3 linked regions of the Sus scrofa genome follow. The protein of the gene in region 2 purifies or fractionates together with the protein of the main gene of each other region. This does not show direct contact. Links are inferred from orthologs where the notes say so. Each region holds a gene or a part of one and is shown on either strand. Other genes may lie near its edges.

The links. Proteins that work in one complex are often made in the same cells at the same time.
Region 1: the proteins of AP2B1 (region 2) and EPS15 purify together in Homo sapiens (affinity purification with mass spectrometry; 3 studies listed by BioGRID and IntAct, with this or other methods). This does not show direct contact. The link is inferred for Sus scrofa from reciprocal best matches to the Homo sapiens genes AP2B1 and EPS15.
Region 3: the proteins of AP2B1 (region 2) and BMP2K purify together in Homo sapiens (affinity purification with mass spectrometry; 3 studies listed by BioGRID and IntAct, with this or other methods). This does not show direct contact. The link is inferred for Sus scrofa from reciprocal best matches to the Homo sapiens genes AP2B1 and BMP2K.

Annotation. Positions count from the first base shown.
Region 1 is NC_010448.4:160,651,268-160,659,044, forward strand, and holds the start of EPS15 (epidermal growth factor receptor substrate 15), read left to right. Parts: upstream 1-2,550; 5' UTR 2,551-2,770; coding exon 2,771-2,803; intron 2,804-7,777. UniProt on the Homo sapiens protein: Involved in cell growth regulation. May be involved in the regulation of mitogenic signals and control of cell proliferation. Involved in the internalization of ligand-inducible receptors of the receptor tyrosine kinase (RTK) type, in particular EGFR.
Region 2 is NC_010454.4:39,901,419-39,908,586, forward strand, and holds part of AP2B1 (AP-2 complex subunit beta), read right to left. Parts: intron 5,813-7,168; coding exon 5,677-5,812; intron 3,743-5,676; coding exon 3,497-3,742; intron 1-3,496. UniProt on the Homo sapiens protein: Component of the adaptor protein complex 2 (AP-2). Adaptor protein complexes function in protein transport via transport vesicles in different membrane traffic pathways.
Region 3 is NC_010450.4:138,784,740-138,792,361, reverse strand, and holds the start of BMP2K (BMP-2-inducible protein kinase), read left to right. Parts: upstream 1-2,395; 5' UTR 2,396-2,477; coding exon 2,478-2,658; intron 2,659-7,622. UniProt on the Homo sapiens protein: May be involved in osteoblast differentiation.

The sequences.
Region 1 (7,777 bases), on a different chromosome or scaffold from region 2:
AGACTCTCTTGAAGACGTGGTTGCTCACGAGACCAGCATAGTAGTGGCTCTTTGTTGGATGGACCTTGTAAAAAGGGACCTGAGTAGAGTCAGGAATTTCTGAGGGCATTTCTGGGATGGTTTGCCTGTGGTGTTAAGGTCTAAAACCTTTTGTGGGGCTGCCTCCATCCTGGGCCTTGTTCAGTGGGTCCTCAGGGTGCATCAGATGGAGACCATTATGATAATAGGGGTGTGGGCCTGATAGAGTTGTGTTTCATTGTTGTGGGAAGCCATTACGATTGAGAAAGGAAGACCCATTCTTGGCAAAAACATTTACTGATGCCTTCTCTGTGCTAGGTCAAATTGTGAGAGGGATGAAGTTGGGAGTTGGCCTTCTGTCCTCATGGGTTTTACAGTCTAGTGGGGATATAGAAAACCCCCCTCAGGAGTTCCCATTGTGGCGAGGTGGAAACGAATCTGACTAGTAACCATGAGGATTTGGGTTCCATTCCTGGCCTTGCTAGCAGGTCGGGGATCTGGCATTGCCATGAGCTGTGGTGTGGGTCCAAGACAAGACCTTGGATTTGGCATTGCTGTGGCTGTAGCATAGGCCAGCAGCTGTAGTTCCACTTTGACCCCTGGCCTGGAAACTTCCATATGCCACCAGTGTGGCCCTAAAAAGCAAATTAAAAAAAAAAAAAAAAAGAAGAAAAGCCTCTCAACTAACTCTTAAAAACAAGTCAGAGTGTTAGGATCATATCAGAGCAGCTAAGGTGGGGTGTGATTTCCTAGAAGGCTTCTTGAAGTAGATGGCAGGCACATACTCCAAGTCAAGTCTTTTTTTTTTTTTTTTTTTTCCCGCTTTTGCTTTCTAGAGCTGCACTCAGGGCATATGGAAATTCCCAGACTAGGGGTCAAATTGGAGCCACAACTGCCAGCCTATGCCACAGCCACACCAGATGTGAGCCAAGAATGCGACTACCCACAACTTACAGCAATGCTGGATCCTTAACCCACTGAGCGAACCCAGGGATCAAACCTGAAACCTCATGGTTCCTAGTCGATCGTTTCCACTGAGCCACATTGGGAACTCCCAAGCCAAGTCTTTATAGATTAGGATTTCAAGTAACTGGTTGGTTATTTCAAGTGAAGAAGGCAGCATAAGAAAGTGTAGTCTTGGAGTTCCTGTCGTGGCTCAGTGGTTAACGAATCCGACGAGGAACCATGAGGTTGAGGGTTCTATCCCTGGCCTTGCTCAGTGGGTTGAGGATCCGGCGTTGCCGTGAGCTGTGGTGTAGGTTGCAGACGCGTCTGGGATCCCATCTTCCTGTGGCTCTGGCGTAGGCCGTTGGCTATAGCTCCCACTGGACCTCTAGCCTGGGAAACTCCATATGCTGCGGGAGCAGCTCAAGAAATAGCAAAACAAACAAACAAAAAGAAAGTATAGGAGTTTCAGTCATGGCTCAGTGAAAAACGAATCTGACTAGTAACCATGAGGGTGCAAGTTTGACCCCTGACCTCGCTCAGCAGATTGAGCATCCAGTTTTGCCGTGAACTGCGGTGTGGTTCGCTGATGCGGCTCGGATCTGGCATTGCTGCAGCTGTGGCATAGGCCGGCAGCTGCAGCTCCGATTTGGCCCCTAGCCTGGGAACCTCCATATGCAGCAGGTGCAGCCCTAAAAAGAGACAAAGAAAGTGTAGTCTGTGTCATGTTTGACTTGGCAGGAATTAAGGCCTTATAATGAACACCTAACACATTCTATGTATCAGAAACAGTCCTTATCATTGAGGCTCCCAGTCGAGAGAGCAGACAGATGGAAACGGTCATCAGGGTGGTGACTTCATAACGTAGAGAAGAAGTGTTAAAAAGAGGAGTGTGTAGCTCCGACTTGCGGAGGTCGGGAGATGCTTTGCGAAGGACAGGACGTGATCCTTGAGTTGTTTCTGGAGAACGTAAGAGGAGTTTGTCAGGTGGACCCGGGGAGGATTTAGGAATGCGGCAGGCACCTGAGCAGCTCCCAGTGCTCATTTATGGAACAATCTGAGTGTGGGAGGCAGCAAGTGGGTCAGGAAAGCATTCTTTCCCCCTCCCAGGTAGACTCTAGCTCCCGGAGGGAATGACTTTAGAGTCTTCTTTGTTGGTATCACACTGTAATAGCAGGTGGTTAAATGAAAAGTTTTGGAGTCAGACGTGGATTCTACTTCACCAGCTATCGAACCAGCTTACGTGTGACACCTATTTGTGTTTCAGTTTCCTCACTTGTGCAATATATTTATGTCTCAGTCCCTTCATTTATACAATTAAAAAATAAAGCGTCTAACATAGATTCTGACATATATAAAGTGCTGTTATTTCTTATAAAGATCTCATTTAATCCTCACAAGCAATCTGGACTTTGGATATAATTTCCCCCTTTTTTCAGAAGCAGAAGCTTAGAGTTGGCAGGTGACTTGCTTAAAGTTCTCGGGACAATGGAGAGCGGCCTCTGCCTCTATCTTCACAGGCCGCCCACCTTCATTTCTTTACGGGCCGGGTTTTCTCCGGCGGCCCCAAGAGTAGGCTCCGGTCCGGTGGCAACAACTCCGGCGCCAGGATTTGGGGGCCGCCGCGGCCTGCGCCGGGCGGGCGGGGCCAGGCGGGGCGGGGCGGGCGAGAGGAGGGAAGTTGTCGAAGTTCGGGGAGACGCCCGCCTGCCCGGGCCTCGCCTCCGGCCGCTCCCTCCGCCTCCTCCTCCCCCGGAGACCCCGTCCGCTCGTCCTTCCTTCTCCTCCCGTGCATGATGGAAACACCATGGCTGCGGCGGCCCAGCTTTCCCTGACACAGGTAACGCGGCCCGCCCGTCCAGTGGGCTGGTCGGCCGGTGTCCCTGGCCCCCTCCCCCACTGCCCTGTGGTTCACCGACCCGGGCAGTTTCTCTCGGGCCCGGGCGGGCGGGCGGGGCGACCGAGACGGAGCGCGCGCGCGCGTGTCTGTGTGTGTGTGTGCGCGCGTGTGTGTGTGCGAGTGTGACGGGGGGAGGGCGCCATCCCGAGCCGGCAGCTTCGCGGCGGCTGCCCAGACCCCGCCCCGGCCAGTTTGCGCCCCGGCGCCGCCCCAGGCGGCGCCCACTCCCCTCGACCCCTCGGTGCCCCTCGCCCCGCTCGGTCGGTGCCCACCTCTCTCACTCCGGTCCGCCTTCACCCACCCAGGAAGTTTCCTCCTTCCAGGCCACACGCTCCCCAGGTGAGCTCCTGTTGAGCTCGCGCGGATCAGCCTCAGCCCCCCCGGCTCAGCCCCGGTCCCTCACGAGGCTCGCCTTCCCGAGCCGGACACCCAGGACCCCTCCGAGCCAGGCTTTCCTTTCTAAACCGGCCTTTTCCTGCTGGAGTCCGGCGATAGCCCTCTCTTCCCCAGTAGTTTCCTTAAGTCAGCTCTCTTCCAAATAAGTCTCATCCCACCGGAGCGCACGCACCCTTGCCCTGCTGGCCCCGTCCTGGGATTCAGCCTCTTCCCCTCCTGATCAGGTTTCGTGCGGCGTCAGATCCCCAGATTCAGTCTTTCCCTCAGTTGTGCTACCACTCCTACTCTGTGGGGTCAACATCGCTGTCCACGCGGATAACAGGGAGTCATCCTTTAACAGGTGTGATGGTTCCTCCAGTCTCGGTGCTGGGAACGACTTGCTCATCCTGGGGGAATCTTCACCAAAACCTGTTTTCAGGGTCTTTTCCTTGCCTTTCTGCTTCCTTCAGAGCCCAGTCCTCGTGCTTCCCGTAAAACTGCTCAACCTCACTCTCCCTGGGAGCCTCGTGCCCCCCTCTCTGTAAAGAAAGCTTGTTGTAATCTTTCCATGATGTACAGGATGATGAGGGGATGTGCACCTGTCAGTCCCTTTCCACTTTTTTGACCAAACCCACCCCAGCCTTACTTTTCAGCCTGCTTTCTCCCGAGTGAGCTGGTGGCTCTGCACCTCTGTGCTGGGGCCCATGCAAGCCTTCCTGCCTGCCCTGTAGTATTTCCCTGCCACCTTGTAGTCTCCTTGGCCTGGATTTGTCAGGGCTTCTAAGGCAAAACACGGGGATAGGTTATACATTTGGGCTGGAGAGTTTTCCGTGTTGGGAGCAAGAGACGTGGGGGCATTTTGCCAAGCATTCTAAGATAGACTGAGTGAAAAATATTCTCCCCAGGAACCAGGAATCACATTGTAAACACGTGCCTCAGGTAAAATAAAAATTAACTTCAGCTTGCAGGAATTATCAGCTTCATAAGTGAAGTGTGTTTATTTCCCACTCTGGTGTTGCTTATCCTATTTTGACAAGCACATAATGGGGAAGAATACTTGGAATGTGGGGATTTTGTCTTGGTGGCAAATCTCTTTGTAAGGGTATTCCTGAAATTTGAGAAATGGCAACATTGACTTTTGAGTGTTCACTTTTTTGGAGTGGGCGCTCACTTTTTAATAGTCTAGTTAGTGATACCCATTAAACAAGATCCTTTAGGCAGGCTGTTGCTGTCTGGCTCTGTTAGCCATTTCCAGCAGGAGTTTTCCTTTCCTGAAGATTTTGTTCTCCTGAGGACTTGTATAGATTTGCTTCCTAGTTTTGTGCTTACTTTATTCTCTTCCTGTAAGACTGTGTTTTTAGTTTCTATTTACTCTCATTCATCTCTGGATATTTTCTTCAGGCTCTGTCAGTTTTATAGACAGTTAAATAATTTAAGTATGTTCTTGCAGTTATATATTTAAATATTAACCTGTACACAGAGTAAATACTGAATCAGGAATATAATCCTTCAGTGTTTCACATATGAGAGAACAAACATTGATGGTTCATTTACATTGAAAATCTAAATAAATCAATTTAGAATATTTTGATTTTAAGACATTAAGAGAGAATAAGATATACTGTAAAGGCTCAGGAAAAAGAACCTTCCCAAATGTTAATATATTTGTTATAATGTGCCTCCTTGTTATTTAAAAACTTGGCTGATTTGTGTTTTTTGATTTTTTTATCTGCTTGAGGCAAATAATCTGAAATAACAATGCAACCTGGTTTCACATTCATTATTGATCTGTTTACTATCACACCAACCCCCACTCCACCCCCAGCACACACAGACATAGGTATGCTTCAGGGCAGGGACTTCTTTCACTTCATCTCTCTCCTTCACTGCCCATCTGGAAGAAAGTGATTAATAGCTGGAAAACCTAAAGGACTCTATGGCAGTTACAAAGATTAAACAGATGCTGGAGTTAGTTTCTGCCTCTAGTTATGAGATAATAATAGTTTTGGAATAAGTTCATTTATTCAGTATTTGTTAAGTTTTTAGTATGTGCTATGCACTCTGCTAGGATTGTCTATAATTTTCTGCCTTCATCAATTAAGCAAAACTGACAATTGGGGGAAAAACACATGAAAAATAATTTACTCTTTCCTTCCTCTTTCCCTTGCCTGCCAACCGGCCTTCCAACTCCTCCACCACCAGAATAAATTATCTAAATTATCATAGCCTAGCATCTAGACAGGATAGGATGCTAGAATAATGAAAACATTAGTTTCAGTCCCAGCTCTGCCAAGAGCGAACTATGTCATTGAGTTGTCTCCAGGGCCAGTTTTCTTAGCTTTAAAAGTCATTCAACAAATATTTATTGAACATTCATTATGTGCTCGGAATTATTCTAGGTACTGAGGATATACTAATGAACAGAATAGACGACAGCTTGGAGCCTGAAGACAAACAAAACATGGAGCTTACATTTTAGTTGGAGAGTTTGAATTAGCTGATCTAAAGGCCTTTCCAACTAACATTCTTTTTTCTAGATCATATTCTATGATTTGGAGATCTGGTGGTGACTTTCCTAGGGCACTTTAGTGCTATATAGCGTCTGTGTTTTCTGATTTCAGTTTTCTTCACTAGGTGTTCTATTTTCTTCTTGTAAGTTAAAACTTGAGTGAGAAAGAGCTTGTGATTTTTTTTACCTAGGGTGGTAGATTACAAAAAAGATACTTCCTCTTTTTAAACTTGGTTGATTGCCCATTTCTTCTTTAAGCCTGTATCTAATAATATTATTATGATTCTCTTTGGGTGTTATTATATGACAGGAATTGTACTTCACTTAACACTCCATTTTACAAGTGAGGGAAGTAATTTGCATAAATTAGTAAGTGGTAGATCGAAGACGAAGGTCTGTAGGACTTTAAAAGCTGTCTGCTATACTTCTCTGTGTACTAGATGCTTGGCATGTCCATTGTTCCCTTGTAGTTTTTCTTCTTTTTTTTTTTTCATTATCTGCCCTGTTTTCCTAATTAGGTCCTAAATTTCTTGAGGATGGAAACAGTGTCTTTTACTTCTGAATCTCTAGTTCCTTTCATGGTATCTCGACAGTATAGTTGTGAGTGGGCAAGTAGTGCTGTTTTTTTGTTGTTGTTTGTTTTTTAAAGGCCTAATCTGTGGCATATAGATGTTCTCAGACTGGAGGTCGAAATGAGTTGCAGCTGCTGGCCTACACCCCACCATGTCAATGCCAGATCCGAGCCTCATCCGTGACCTACCCTGCGGCTTACAGCAGTGGGGGATCCTTAACCCAGAGTGGGGCCAGGGATCAAACCTGTGTCCTCATGGGTACTAGTCACGTTCCTTACTGCTGAGCCACAACGGGAACTCTGGCAAGTCGTGCTCTTGATGATGATAAAGATTTTATTTTATCGAAAGATGGCATACATAAAATGATATTTTAAATAATACTCCAGCAGTTCAGCTTTATGTTGAAGTTTTCTTATTTTATCAGGGATTCTTTTTTTTTTTTTTTTTTTTTTTTGTCTTTTTGCCTTTTCTTGAGCCACCCCAGCCACATATGGAAGTTCCCAGGCTAGGGGTCTAATCGGAGCTGTAGCCATTGACCAACGCCACAGCCACAGCAACAGGGGGTCCGAGCTGTGTCTGCGACCCACACCACAGCTCATGGCAACACTGGATCCTTAACCCACTGAGCAAGGCCAGGGATCGAACGCACAACTTCATGGTTCCTGGTCAGATTCGTTAACCACTGAGCCATGACGGGAACTCCAGGGGTTCTTTTTTTAATAATAAAAAGCCTTTAGGTTCCTTCCTGTTGCGGCTCAGTAGGTCAGGAACCCACCGAAGTGTCCATGAGGGTGTGGGTTCAATCCCTGGCTTCATTCAGGGGCTGGGGATCCTGAGTTGTCACAAGCTGTGGTGTAGGTTGTAGATGTGGCTTGGATTTGGTGTTGCTGTGGCCCAGGCCTGCAGCTGCAGCTCCAGTTCAACCCCTAGCCTGGATACTTCCTTATGCCGCAGGTGTGGCTATTAAAAAAAAAAGAAAGAAAAAGGGAAAAAACCTTTTAGAATGTATATGATCAAAAACAATAAATACTATGAGAATATTTTTTCTCTTAATGCTAATTTTAAATTGCAAGAGTGATATAACTGCATCATAGAAAATTTGGAAATTGGAAAAAATCTCCCATAATTTTATAGTTTCTGGTGTTTATTTTCAGTTTCATTTTTAAAAAGTATACAGAATGTGTTGATAAGCATCTGGTTTAAATAATGATGGTAAATACAAGGCAGAGTATGAAAATTACAACATATTCTCAGAAGCAGAAAAGGAATTTTTTTTCAACATGACAAATTATTGGAGTTCCTACTATAGGACTGGCACATTAATGGTATTTTTCTTTTTTGCTTGCAATTGCAGTACAATGTACTCAGGAACTCTTAGTTTCTTTGAACGATATCTAACAGTTTTCAAAATGGTTTGGAATGTTCAGCATTTGGGAGGAGCCGTCATAGTTAAAATTA
Region 2 (7,168 bases):
TAGGTTCTGCTTTAAAAATTTTACACTGGAAGTTCCCGTCGTGGCGCAGTGGTTAACGAATCCGACTAGGAACTATGAGGTTGCGGGTTCAATCCCTGCTCCTGCTCAGTGGGTTAACGATCCGGCGTTGCCGTGAGCTGTGGTGTAGGTTGCAGACGTGGCTCGGATCCCGCGTTGCTGTGGCTCTGGTGTAGGCCGGTGGCTACAGCTCTGATTCGACCCCTAGCCTGGGAACCTCCATATGCCACGGGAGTGGCCCAAAAAAATAGCAAAAAGACAAAAAAAAAAAAAAAACTTTTACACTGAAGATTCCTTTTTCTCCCTGAACTGGAATTGCATGGAGTAAGTTAGAACCCATTCTTACCTCACTCCACTCCACATTCACAGCCCCACAGAAAATTTTAAATGTTTCCAAAGGGTACATGAGATCTGCTCATCTGGATGCCCAAAACTTAGGAAGTGAAGCCCAAATATTTTCCATCTTCTCATTTGTTCTCAGAAAATTTCAGACATTTGCTCAAAATAACAGTGAATCAAAATCAATGGCAAAAACACAACTTAGTAGCAGCTAAATTTTCTAAAAATAGATATTACTGCCTTATAAAATTGTTTCTTTACAGACTTTTTTTTTTTTTTGTCTTTTTAGGGCCACATCCACAGCACACGGAAGTTCCCAGGCCAGGGGTCAAATTGGAACTGTAGCTACTGGCCTAAACCACAGCCACTGCAATGCCAGACTCGAGCAGTGTCTGCAACCTATACCACAGCTCATGGCAATGCCAGATTCTTAACCCACTGAGTGAGGCCAGGGATCAACCAGAGTCCTCATGATACTAGTCTGATACTAGTCGGGTTTGTTATCGCTAAGCCACAAGGGGAACTCCTCTTTATGTAATTCTAAAAAGGTGACACAGCGCTGCTTGAGGGAAAAAGATAGGGTTGAATCTTCTAATACTGGTGGTAATTACACCCTGTTAAAAGTCACGGTTTATGCGCATACACACCGGTATTGCCTCTGTGCCTAGCAAGTAGCTATAGGATTTCTAATGGTAGGTAGTACCACAGCAACTTTAAAAAACTATAGCTTGCTTCATCCTTTGACCTAGACACCAAATTTGAAAGATAATAAATAGAAGCCAAGGCTACCCAAAGAGTAAGATGAACCATCTGAGCAGGTTATTTTGCAAGTGAAACCCAAGGCCTACATCATGGCAAATTCCAATTCTCTAATTCAAAAAGTTCAACAGTGAAATATTCCCAGGCTACCCACTGAATAGCTCAATGTTATTCACCTCCAAGAGAAGTATGCATTAGGAAAAAGGGGAGAGACAGGGACTCAATTCCTCCATCTTCTCAGTAATGATACTTAATGACCAATCACTCAATTCAAATGATCTTCAGTTACTAGCAGAGCCAACGTACCACTTTGAGACTTGCTCCATTCACTATACAGCCAAATTCTAAATGTCAATAGGAGAAATAAAAAGGTCCCAAACATTAAGGATTAGGTTCTGACTGCCAAACATTCACAAAATAATCAGGTTGGCTATAAAAAATTGTCCTAGGAGTTCCCACTGTGGCTCAGTGGTAATGAATCCAACAAGTATCCATGAAGCTGCATGTTCAATCCCTGGCCCCCACTCATTGGGTTAAGGATCTGGCATTGTGTGGTGTAGGTTGCAGACACAGCTCAGATCTCGCATTGCTGTAGCTGCAGTGTAGGCTGTCAGCTACAGCTCCGATTTGACCCCTAGCCTGGGAACTTCCATATACCCTGGACGTGGCCCCCACCAAAAAAAAAAAAAAAAAAAAAAAAAAAAAAAAAAAAAAAAGAGAATTGTCCTAGTACTCTGTAGAAGAATGGACTACAATAATTAAGCAATAAAGATAACTTTTATTCAGTTGTATTCCCACACCACCAGAAAAGACCACAAATATCCATCTGAAGAAATCTTTTTAAAAACTGATATAAACTTAAGGTAAAACTTCTTTAAGACAGTAATGAAAGAAATTTGTTTCTGAACAAATAGAGAAGTAAGTATGATACAAAGATTTGCTATAAGACCCTTATATTTTAGGAGTTCCCGCTGTGGCACACAGGACCGGCAGTGTCCTGGGATGCAGCTTCAATCTCTGGCTCCGCACAGTGGGTTAACAATCTGCTGTTGCCACAGCTGCAGCATAGGATCAGATCTGATCCCTGGCCGGGAACTCGATATGCTGCAGGACTGCCAAAAAAGAAAAAAGAAAAAAAAAAAGACCCTTCACCCCAGTGTTCATAGTAGCACTACTTATCACCAAGACAGGGAAATAACCGAAATGGCCATTAAAGATGAGTGGTTTAAGATGTGATGTGAAAACACACACACACAGGAATAGTACTCAGTCAAAAAAAGAAATGAAATATTGCCATTTGCTGCAGCATGGATGGACCTGGAGAATATCATATTAAGTGAAAAAAAAGACAAATATACCACTTACATGTGGAATCTGAAAAATAATACAAATGATCCTATATATAAAACAGAAGCAGACTCAGACATAAAAAACAAACCCAGGGTTACTAAAGGGGGAGGGGGAGAGGGATAAATTAGAGAAGTATGGGATTGATAGATAGAAACTACTATACATAAAACAGATAAGCAGGATGGATTTACTGCATAATACAGAAAACAGTATTCAATATTTTGTAAATATCTATAATGGAAAATAATCTGAAAAAATATATACTTATAAAACAATTACTTTCCTGTAAACTAACAATATTGTAAACAACTATACTTCAATTAAAAAAAAAAAACAAAACCTATATTTTCATGCTTGGATTTCCGCTCAGAAACATGTAGGGTGTTAGACTGTGGGACACACATAAGTCATGCTTCACAGGGCTAGCCTATGACAAGACGTACTTTAAACATTCTTTTTTTTTTTTTTTAATTTTTTTCCATTTTTGGCCATACCCACAGTATATGGAAGTTCCCAGGCCAGGGATCGAATCCAAGCTGCATTTGAGGCTTACGCCACTGCTGCAACAATGCCAGATCCTTAATCTGCCGCAGCAGACCAGGGACTGGACCAGCAACCACTGTGCCACAGCAAGCCAGATCATTAAACCACTGTGCCACAGCAGGAATTCCTAAACATCCTTTTCAATGATGGACATTTTATTTTATTCTTTCATTTATTTATTTGGTTGTATTCACAGCTTTTGGAAGTTCCGAGGCCAAGGATCCTACCCAAGCCACGGCAGTAACAATGCTGCATCCTTAACTGATAGGCCCACCAGAGAACTCCTAAACATATTTTTCAAAGGGACCCATTCTGGACTTCTCTGGTAGCCTGGTGGGTTAAAAATCTGGCATCGTCACCAGGAACTTCCACACGCCTTGGCCAAAAAAACCCCAACAAACAACGCCCGCACCCCCGCCCCCCCCACACACACAAATAAAGGGACTCATTTTAAATACCACTCTCTTATAAAAGCAGAAACTATTACCATTGGATTTGAATCTGCTATGAGGTCCCGCAGAGAATCCAGAAATCCCTGATCTTCAACCATCTGGGCATTGATGTCATGGAGTTTTGCCACACAGACTGCTGCTGTCTTCCGAACATAGGGATCTTCATCCTTTAAGCACTTGCGGAGGGGTTCACAGAGATATTCCGTAATCTTGTCCACCCGGATACACCCCATGGTTCTGACTGCCAAGGCCCGAATCAGAGGATTGGGATCTTCACAGTCCTAAAAAAACAATCACTGACAACTATAGGTGTACAGGGTGACTAAAAATAAACAGTCAGATGTACGTAAGCCACAACAGAATATTCATTTAATGTAGGTTTCCAGTTACATTCCACATCAGAACTCACATCTCTTAGACCATTCCCTTCCAAGGTACAGTCTTAGTTGCCTACCTAAGAGTTTAGGTTAGGAATTCATTTAACTTTTATATACACAATGAAGAAGTGTCCTGTAGGTTTCATTTCAGAGCTGAGCAGAAAGCTTAGCTGATGCTACCACCCCCAGAGCCATTAGTGGACCTGTCCTATAAATAGAAAAGGTCTTAGGGCTTGTATTCTGGTACAGGAAAAAATTAGAAACTGGAAAGATGTGTCCCACTCAACAAATACCAAGTAGGGAGAAAGAGGACTGGTTACCTGGGGCCTACAGCCACGAAAGCAAAAGAGATATAGAAGGTGATTTGGGTTCCTTGAGTGAAGCAGAAGAGAGGGCCCTCTGAGACCCTGATTACATACATTCTCCTCTCCTAGCATCTGTGTCAAATATGAATAGAATACTTATCATGAAGGAACAACCCTTAAACTGTCCTACATTAAGAAATTTCTTTAAACATTATAAACCTGTGAACATGCTAACTTCCAAAAAATGGACACCAAATTCTTTCTGGTACTATCATCCACCTGTGCATCACCAGAAAGAAATGTTAGGTTGGTTCTGCTTTTTAAGGAGGAAAGCATGCTGTTTATTTTTCAAAACAGTTTAGTACAAGCTCATTTTAGAAATGATGTCTGATTTTTGCTTTTAATGCAAACTGAATTCCAAACAGAGGAAAAAAACAATAAATAAAAAAACTAAAAACTGGAGTTTCCACTGTGGTATAGTCAGTTAAGAACCTGACTGCAGCGGCTTGAGTCACTGCAGAGGAGCAGTTTGATCCCTGACCTGGCGCAGTAGGTTAAAGGATCTGGTGTCGCAAGCTATGCCACAGCTGTGGCTTGGATTCAATCCCTGGGCTGGGAATTTCCATGTACTGCGGATGTGGCCAAAAAAAAAAAAAAAAAAAAACTAATACGAACAACCTCATTATTATGTTTATCAAATCTAATGATAGGACAAATTTGACTCTTGATATCTAATAATACTAAGAAATTTACTTTCTTCTTCTTCTTTTTTGGCCACACAACAGCAGCAACAAAACCCACTGCAGTGAAAATGCCGTATCTTTAACCCTGCTATGTTGCAAAAGAATTCCAAGGAATTTCTTACTGGTCAGGTTTTAAAGATGTGACAATGGTACTATAGTTACATATGTTTGGGATTTACTGTAAAAGTAACCAGTAGGAAAGGAGGGGAGTCAGGGAAGCATGTATGGAGAGTATAAGTTAAATAAGGCTGGTCACAGGCAGGTGACTATTGAAACTACAAGACTGATACTTAGCAATTTATTATTCTATTCCCTCTACCTGAAGATGCTTGAAAATTTCCATAATGACAAAAAAGTTCATCAACTGTTCTAAGACCTACTGAATAAAACAAAATTAAATAGCAGTTCCTGCAGTTTCCATTTCTTCTGACCCATAAGCATAGTTCTACTGAGATAAAATAGGTAAAGCCCCAAGATACTGATACTACAAAGACATGCTCAACCTTTGTTAGCCTTGGAAGGCAAAGCAGTGAGGTTTCACCTGGTTTTCTTCTCCCATCTGGCAAAAATGCACCGAGCCCTGCTGACAGAAGGCTCACCATATGGTTTGAACTGGATGACAAACGCTGGCACACAGAATGCTTAAAACACGAACATTCCTACTCATTGCCAGTACTTCTCTAGAGGCTCTCTTTTGGAACAGAGGTTGCTTATTTGCAATGCAGACACTTACTATATCAAGAGACATTTCTGAAAAGACACTGCTCTTGAATCCCTGGGAAAGAGTTACCTTCACAAAGCTGTTGACAGCCATGATGGCCATGTCTGGCTGACTCTTGGCATAGTTCATCAAATAGAGATACACAAGCTTCTTTAGTTCCAGGTTGTCAGTCTGCATACAATTCACTACATCTGGAAACAGAGAGCTGAGAAGAGAGAAAGGGAACATGAACAGATGTTTGTGCCAAGCTGTTGGATAGAACACAAAGAAATGGCCTTAATTTTCTTTTTCTTTTTTTTTTTTTGGTCTTTTTTGCCTTTTCTAGGGCCACTCCCGCGGCACATGGAGGTTTCCAGGCTAGGGGTCTAACTGGAGCTGTAGCCACTGGCCTACACCAGAAACACAGAAGCTCGGGATGAGAGCCGAATCTGCAACCTACACCACAGCTCACAGCAACGCCGGATCTCAACCCACTGAGCAAGGCCAGGGACCAAACCTGCAACCTCATGGTTTCTAGTTGGATTCAATAACCACTGAGCCACGGCGGGAACTCCAAAATGGCCTTAATTTATAAAGTGATTTGATGCAAGGACAAATCTCCCTGCAGTGATAATTATCACAGAAATAAATTACTAAAGAAATTATAGGAGTTCTTTTGCGGCTCAGTGGATTAAGGACTCAGCATTATCACTGCAACAGTTTCGGTCACTGCACCATGAAAAAAAAAATAGTAATGGTCTCAAGAAGATGTCTAAAAATAAATTTTAAAGAAAAATTTTACTATGAAAGCAGTATAATGAATCTGATGTATCAATCACCCAGCTACAAGTAATGATACATACCCAATCTTGTTTCATATACAACTCAGTTGAGAGAATCCCCCAGTCCCTACTTCATTTAGTTGCTCTTAACGATTTTTTTTAAAAATCCTAGACAGAGTTCCTGTTGCGGCTCAGCAAGTTAAGAATCCAAAATACTGTCCATGAAGATTCGGGTTTGATCCCTGGCCTTGCTCAGTGGGTTAACAATATAGCATCACTGCAAGCTGCAGTACAGGTCAAAGATGTGGCTCAGACCTTGAGATGCTCTAGCTGTAGTATAAGCTTGCAGCTGCGCTCCAATTTGACCCCTAGCCTGGGAACTTCCATATGCTTACAGGTGTGGCTGTAAAAAGGGGGGAAATAAATCCTAGACATAATATCTCATATATAATATTTTAGTGTGCATCTTTAGGTATCCTTTTTTTGGGGGGCTGTACCTGCAGCACATGGAAGTTCCTAAGCCAGGAATCAAACCCACACCACAGCAGCAACCTGAGCCACTGCAGTGACAAAGCCAGATCCTTAACCTACTGCACTACATGGGAACTCCAGAAATCTTTTTTTTTTTTAAATCACTATATCACACACAAAAACTAGCAGTAATTCTTCATATCAATTCTTTGCAGTTCAAAGCACTACAAGTGTCACTGCAGCAGCTCAGGTGGCTGCTGCGGCATGTGTACGATCCCTCACCCAGGAACTTCTGCATGCCGTGAATGCAGCCAAAAAAAAGGGAAAAA
Region 3 (7,622 bases), on a different chromosome or scaffold from region 2:
CTTATCAGCAATAGGTTTGTGGTAGAACATTGTGGAGTTAACATTCTGAGATCAGATGATATTCACATTTTTACTGTGTGCTTCGTGAAAAATTAAAGAACGAATTGCTCAGTATTAGCCATAATTTTTGAAAGGGGGCCTACGCCTTAAACTAATGATCAACTTCCATATCCAAAGTCAGCTATATATATGGCTACAGAGAAGGAATTTTTTTTTTTTTTTTTTTTTTTTTTTTAAACCACAGCTGTTGTGGTAAATTGGCTCCCAAACTGATCACAGGAGACTTTACTTACTCTTGTGTTGTCATCAGGTGAAATCATGTTAGGCTCCCACTGTGCCTGTTAGGTTGTTTGCACTTCTGAACTGTACGAAATGACTAAATTTCTTAGTTATCCTGCTTGAAAAATATAATTCAAATGTTGTAGGAATGCAAATCCACAGTGAATCCCCACAGTAAGAATGGTCAGCTTATTTCTAAATGGAAATCCCCAATTGTCACACCGTATCAATTATCTGACATAAAATCTAACTTCCATTGAGCAGGAATGTGTTTTAAAGATCAGGTCTCTGGATGAAGAATTTTAGCTTTAGTGGGTTATGCAGCAAAAATGCCTAAATGCAGAGCACTGTTTTAATGTTGGCAGAAATAGCTTCTCTTGAAATAGCAGACAAGAAGGAAAAATGGAAGATTTGAAGCTGAGTCTTTTGCCTAAGCACATTTTCTAACGTTTCTGCCTGTATCTCATTTAAAATTGGATAAAGAAATAGGAGTGGGGACAGAACGACATTCATCTGCTTTCACAGAAGGCACGCACTGGCGTCCTGCACGTACAGTTTATTTGACCTACATTTAAAAAATTTGGGAAATGCCGTATTACAAAAACATCCAGAAGATTCCTGGCTTTTCTTAAGAAATGGAACCTTTGGCCACAGCGGGCCTCTATTCATACCGGGCGGGGGCGGGGGCAGGCTGGATTTGGGACTGGGGCGCTCTAGTTACACAGGCTCTGTGATTTCACACTCCTTACCATCCTAAACGTCTTAACACCATACTCATTTTTGCAGGCCTCACCCCGCAGGCATGGAGACTACTGCAGTTTCCGAAATGGATGCAACGGGGCTTTTTTTTTTTCTTTCTTTTTTTAATGTGCAAATCTCTTTGTTAACGGGCGGGGGACGGGACCGGGTAGCTGGTTTTGCTTCCCAACAGTCCTAAATTTGCCGTTTTCCAACGCTCTGACCCTAACCTCCTTTTTCCAAACGGCCCAACGAATGAAACGAAGTATCAAAGGCGGGCCCTTGAAGTTGCAGCTCCATCAAAAGCCAGCCATGTGACCTTCCCCGAGTCCGTTAAGCTCTCCGGGCCAGAAGTGATGAAAGGTCTCTAAACGGACTTAACAATTGTTCCGAATACTTCACAGGGCTGTTGCACAGCGCACATGAGATTTTGAAAGTACCCTATAGACCGCAAAACGCTCCCGAGCACAAGCGTCTGCTACAGAGGGCGGCAGCACGGCTTCCGAAGTCGGGTTACTGGAATCCGCTCTCGCTCCGCGCTGCTCCCACCTCCCACGCTCCGGGGTGGGCGAGCGGAAGAAGATTCTCAGGGGAGCCGGTCTGGAAAAGCGGCTCGGCACTGCAGCGAGAAGTTCCTTCGCGGGGGTAAAGTTGGTGGCGGCACTTTCAAGCCCCCAGAGCAACATACCAACTCCTAGGCGAGAAGAGACATCCCGCCCCGGCCGCACAGGCGGCGAGAAGACCGGTCACCGGGTCACCTCCCTGCTCGAAGCCGGGACCCCACAGGTCCGGCCGAACCCTCCCGGCCGGGACCCCAGACATCGCCCGCACCCCAACCCCCACCGTCCTCCTTCCCGTCCCCCTCCACGTGACAAGAGCCGGAACCGTCACTTCCGGCGGCGCAGACAGCGCGCCTGCGCGGGGTGCCCGGCCTCAGAGAGCGGCTGGCAGGGGCGCCGCGCCGCCAACGGCTGGGAGTGGCGGGCGGCTCCGGTTCCGCCGGGGCGGCGGCGGCGGCGCGGACTGCGCTCCAGAGGCCGTGCGGCGCGAGGAGTCCCGCCCGCTCCCCGGAGGCCCGGCCGCCCCGCCCCTTCCCCAGCTCCCTCCCTCGCGCCCTCCCGCGGGGCTCGCGCTGCGGGCGCCCAGCTCGGCGGCGAGGGCGCCGGGGGCACTGGCGGCGGCGCCCCCGCGCTCGGGCCCGCCCCCTCGCGCCCCGCCCCGTCCCCGCCCTCCTCGCCGCCCTCTGCGGGAGCCCGGCAGCTGCAGCGGAGCCGCGGAGCGGGCGCAGGGGCCGGGGCGCTGCGCTCGGGGCGCGCGGAATGTGAGGCTCGGCGGGCCGCAGCGCGCACGGACGCTCGGACGGACGAGGGCCGGCGGCCCCGCGCGGACGCCGGGCCGGGCGCTCGCCCTCTCGCTCGCCCTTGCGCGCGCCCCGCGCCCTCCGGCGCGCCGGCGGGACCATGAAGAAGTTCTCTCGAATGCCCAAGTCGGAGGGCGGCGGCGGCGGCGGCGGAGCGGCGGGTGGCGGGGCCGGCGGGGCCGGGGCCGCCTTCGGCTCCGGCTCCGGGAGCTCGTCCGTGGGGGTCCGCGTGTTCGCGGTCGGCCGCTACCAGGTCACCCTGGAGGAGTCGCTGGCCGAAGGTATGGGCGCCCGGGGAGGCGCGGGCCGGCAGGTGAGGGAGGGCTGGGGTGTGGCGGTAGCTTCTCCCGGTCGCCGCCCGCTTCTCTGCTCGCTCCCTCGGCTCCCCCTTCTGCCTCCTGCCCGGCCAGCGAGGCTCTTAGAGTAGCTCGAGGTCTCGCTCTTAAGCCGGCTTTTCTCGCCGCCGGCCGCGCTGGCCGGTGCACGGTTCTTTGATTACGAGTTTAAGTCATTTTCAGTCCTTCTCCACGCAGGGAAATACATAGGAAACGTCTTAGCGCGAGGGCTGTGGTGTCGTGATTGGACCAGTGACTCATTTGAGGGTCAGACCGAGCAAGATTGGGGCTCTTCTCCCCCAGCTGTGGCTCAGGCGGGTGTCATGCGCTGGCCTCTCCACCCGCGCCGCCGGGCGCAGGACCCTGCAGCCCGCGCGTTAAGCCTGTTTGCTGCTGCTCAGTCATCAGGTGAAAAACGATTTATTCCTGTGTGTTCGCGGGATGGAGGTGATACTTTGCCCCAGCTTCAGTTAGCAGGTTGCTTTGGGGAAGCAGGTAAACTTGGAGTCCACTTATCTTTGTTATTTAGAAGCTTCTCTGAGACAAGGTGCTAGTCCTACCATTTCAGTAAGTCTCTGGCGGTAGTTGAAAAGGCGATATGAAAGCAGGTTAACTTTCACTGGAGAAGTTTTGTGTTCGATCCCACCTTATCTTTTACTAGGCTCTGTCAACAGCTGCAAGTCGGCTTACAGAAAAAGTTATTTAACTCCATTAAAAAAAATCCTGTAGTTTTTTTATTTCTTGTATAAATTGGCTTGTAGGAAATACTGCCTTGTTGCATGCTTCATTGACTTTTGAGTTTTAATCGCAGACCGATATTACAAAATACGTACTTTTAAAACTTCACGAGAAATAATTTGTTGATAAGTGGCCCTTGTTAATTTCGGAGATTGAGAGAAGAAATCGAGGACAGTAGCTTTGGTTCTCTGAGAGGTGTTGATGTGGTTTGAAGACAGTAGACTGAGATTCCACTTGTGTTTTTTGAAATGCTGTAAACAGTAGCGAATTAGTGCGAGAGAAAACCCTGAATGTTTTTGTCTACGAACTGTTCTGAAGAGAAATCTTGATTATTCAGGGATGAACATCATTGTTTTGCAAGCTCTGGCCCCTCATTAGGAGCCTAGCTGAGCCTTAGAGCGGTGGAAGGAGGATCCTTAGCTTCTCCAGTGATGAATGTATGGTAATTGGCATTGATGGACAGATTTACTATGCTGTAAAATTTCCTAGCTCTTTATTATACGTGACTTTCAAGTGTTGATTTAGATTGAATTGTAGGTTTTTAGAAGACATGGCTATTAGCTCACATGCTGTACTTCTGTCTTTGAGTTGTAACTGATTCAAGTGTGGCTTGAGTAATACTACACTCACTTCACTTCAGTAAATCCCAGATGGGTCTTTTATTTAATAGAATGAAATCATTGACATTTCATCAAACTAGAGTTTGGATTTGTAGCTTCTGCCCCTGCTCCAAGCATGTCCTATCACTACCCTAAGCACACTGTTTTCCATAGAAATAAATAATTTTGGAAAATGAGAATAAAAATGAATTTCAAAAAGGGAGTACTCACTCAACCACAAAAAATGCTTTCAGTAACTAATATTACTGTTAGAGTGTTTCACTGACTTTTGCCATTGATTTGTCATTCTTCCGCTTGGAAAAATCACTAATTAAGTGCTAGGAGGAAGCAGGGCTTGAGCAAATTCTTGGGGAAGATGGCACTTCCCCACTCTGCACCCCAGCACCTGGAACCAGGCATTTGGGCTTCCCTGGAGGGAAGGCTGAGGCCTAGGCTTTGTTCCCTTGTGTATCCTCTTCTCCGCACGCACACAATCCAAAGGATCTATGTTCGGTTTACTTTTGGATCCTGACAATATATTATTTCAGATGCTTAATGTTTTCCCTTCTTTCCAAATAAGTAATGCTGTGATTTAGACAAGCTGTTTAAGCACCAGTGTGGTTTACGTTCTAGAATGATCGTTCAGGAATTTACAGACACATGTGCCCGTTTATAAAACTCGGGCAAGTGCTTGTGAAAAGGTAGGAGAGTGTAGAGAACCTGAACTGAGGAGAAGTAGAGCATTGAGTGGTGAGAGGGGTGGAGGTTGAGAGAGGTCGAAGCAAAAACAGTAGATTTTACATTTTTGCTTTTTGTGTCAGTGTTATTTAAACGAGCCAAGACTCTGCAGGTGATGTGTCCTGAGGAGTGTTTGCCAGGCTACTGCAGACACAGGCAGCTTGCTCAGAATGGCCTCTGCAGTGTCTTTGAATCTTCAGGAAACCTGGTGTGAGCGCTGCCTGCCCCTCCCCCCCATACACATTTGATTCTCGTTATTCACAGTAGTTATGTTTTATAAAGTTGCCATATAGTGATTTAGTGACTACTGAGGCATTGCTCCTAGGGTTAATACAGTGTTAGGGCACTGCTAGCCTCTGCTGGCAACATTTGTGTCAACCAGTTTATAACCTTGTTTTATGTGTGTTTCCTGTTTAGAGACACCTTGTTTGACATAAGTTGTTGACTCATTAGCATTGAGCTCATGGCCAGTACTCCTGTAACTCATGCGTAAATGAAGCTTATCTAATAATTTTCTTGGTAAGGGACATCATAGCCCTCTTGCTCTTAGGAACACTAAGTAGGGAGCACTTTGGCACTGTGCTTGGGGGCGATTTTAAACAACAGAATCACTATTGCAGAACACAAGAAAGAGAAAAGCATGATATGACATAGAACTTGAAAAGAGCACTTGGTTACAGTATGAGAGCTGAAACAGAGCAGAGCAATACCTCCTGGATTCCAGCTGGCCTTCTCAAAATTTTCACCCCTATGCGCATGTCTGCAAATAACTGTGAAAGTGTCATTGTATTGATTTCAGAGATACAAGTAAATTTCAGCAAGTAAGCACATTTGCAGATACGAACTCCTCGGATTATGAGGATCAACTATATATGTGTGTATGTGTCAGTATGTATGTATGTGTATATCCATGCACATGCATGTTTATGTCTTAGATATATTATAAAACCAGGATTCTCGGGTATGCTTGTGTTGTAGTTGTAACTAACCTGTTGGAGTAGTTTTCTCTCTGAAATATATGTTGTAGTATGTTTGAAAATGCTGACGAATTGCACCTTTTTAGTTCCTGCCAAAAGTTCAGAGGCCTGATGGTATGTGGGGCGTTTTCCTCAAAAACAGTTTAGTTTTAGGAGTGCAGATTCAGCTTTGGGCTGTACAGATGAGATAGAGCTACATGTAAATTTTAGCATGAAACAGTGTCAGATTGTCCAGCACAAATAATACAGTATAACCTAAGTATTTACTAAAACGTAGGACTGGCTTTTGGATGACATGCCTCTGTAGGCCTTCAGTGCTAGTCAGAAGACTAATTTTGATGGATAATGGGAGGAATGGGTTCTCGGGTAGGGGACTTTTATTTCCTAAACATCTTTGGTAAAATGTGGACTTAAATGGGAAGCATAGAGACCAGGACACCATCCATAATTTGTTGACGTCATCTAATCATGAGGTTATGGGGCTGGATAGGAGTGGTATTTTGAGTATGACTGGGTGAGTAGGACTTTCTGACACATCCATTGGGGTCCATGGGGGTTGTTAGCACTGTCAGTAATTGGAGGCCAGGAGTTTACTCCAGAGTTCTGTAAAAGTAGCTCGGTAGCTCTCAGTTAATTGCTTGGAGTAGAATAAGTGAATTTAGGTAAAATGTCAGTTTTCATTGTTAATTTTACAGGAATATAGGAAAATACATTTTATTTTGAGGTATAAATCAGTAAAAAATGATGCATTTAAGCATGGTATCTGATTTGCAGAAATTTTTTGTGGCTACCCAGTAACTTGTAAGTTGAAGGTCCTAGAGATAACAAAGAGAGTAGAAGGGTACGATTTAACAAAGATATCAACAACCATTACTATTCCATGACTTTATTAAATGCCCTTTAAAAACAATGCCAGGCTGTACTAGGTGCTATTTATGCAAAAGAGGAAAAAAACAAAACCCAGCTATTTCTTTGGTCTTATGGAACTTAGAGTCTAGTTAGAAGATAAATGTTAAACAGAATTAGGTAAACGTAATTAGCAATTTTGATAACTGTCCGAAGAAAACATAGAGTTTTATGAGAGAATAACTGATTCAATTTATATTGACTAATAAAGGAAGCCTTTTTTTGGACCTTTTAGCGAAAATCTGAAGCGTATGAAGAGTTAGATAAAGGCAGAGGTATGAAGGTGGGCTGGTTTGGAGTATGTCATGAAGAGAGAGCTTCCTATGGGGGGGAGAGTTTCAGGAACTGCAATATGTCCAGGGCTGTGGATTATAGGGAATGAAACCCATGGAAGAAACCCAAGATGATTTTGGAGAGGTGACCAGGATCCAGATCTTTGTATGCCTTGTTGGAGATTTAGATTTTATCCGAACATGCAGTGGGAGGCTACTGAAGGATTTAAGTTAGGGCTGCGGCATGCTCCGATTGGATTTTACGTAATTCATGGTGTTTGCTCTGTGGGGACTCTTCGAGGGGTGTACACATTAGACAGTTTGTTAAGATGGCAGTGGGGATGGAGATGTGTGGGGAGACCTGGTGGTGGGTTGATTGGAGGCAGGTATTGTAGAATGTGTGAAAAACGACTTGTTCTCCAGCTTTTAGACAGAGGTACCATTTCCTGAGATGGGGAAGAGTAGAGAAGGAACCGATGGGTGGGGTGGGGTGGGGTGGGGTGGAAGGATCCAGTAATTCCAGACGTGTTTAGTTGAGGTGTCTGGGAGGAAAGAAGGGTTACGTGGGAAGCTGAATATATGGTCCGGTATTCAGCAGCAGTGTTGAGGCTTAGAGACAGGCACTTCTGGTCAATGAGCATTTATTTGTCTGTGGTTTTAAGCCCTGGGAGAGGTTGGGT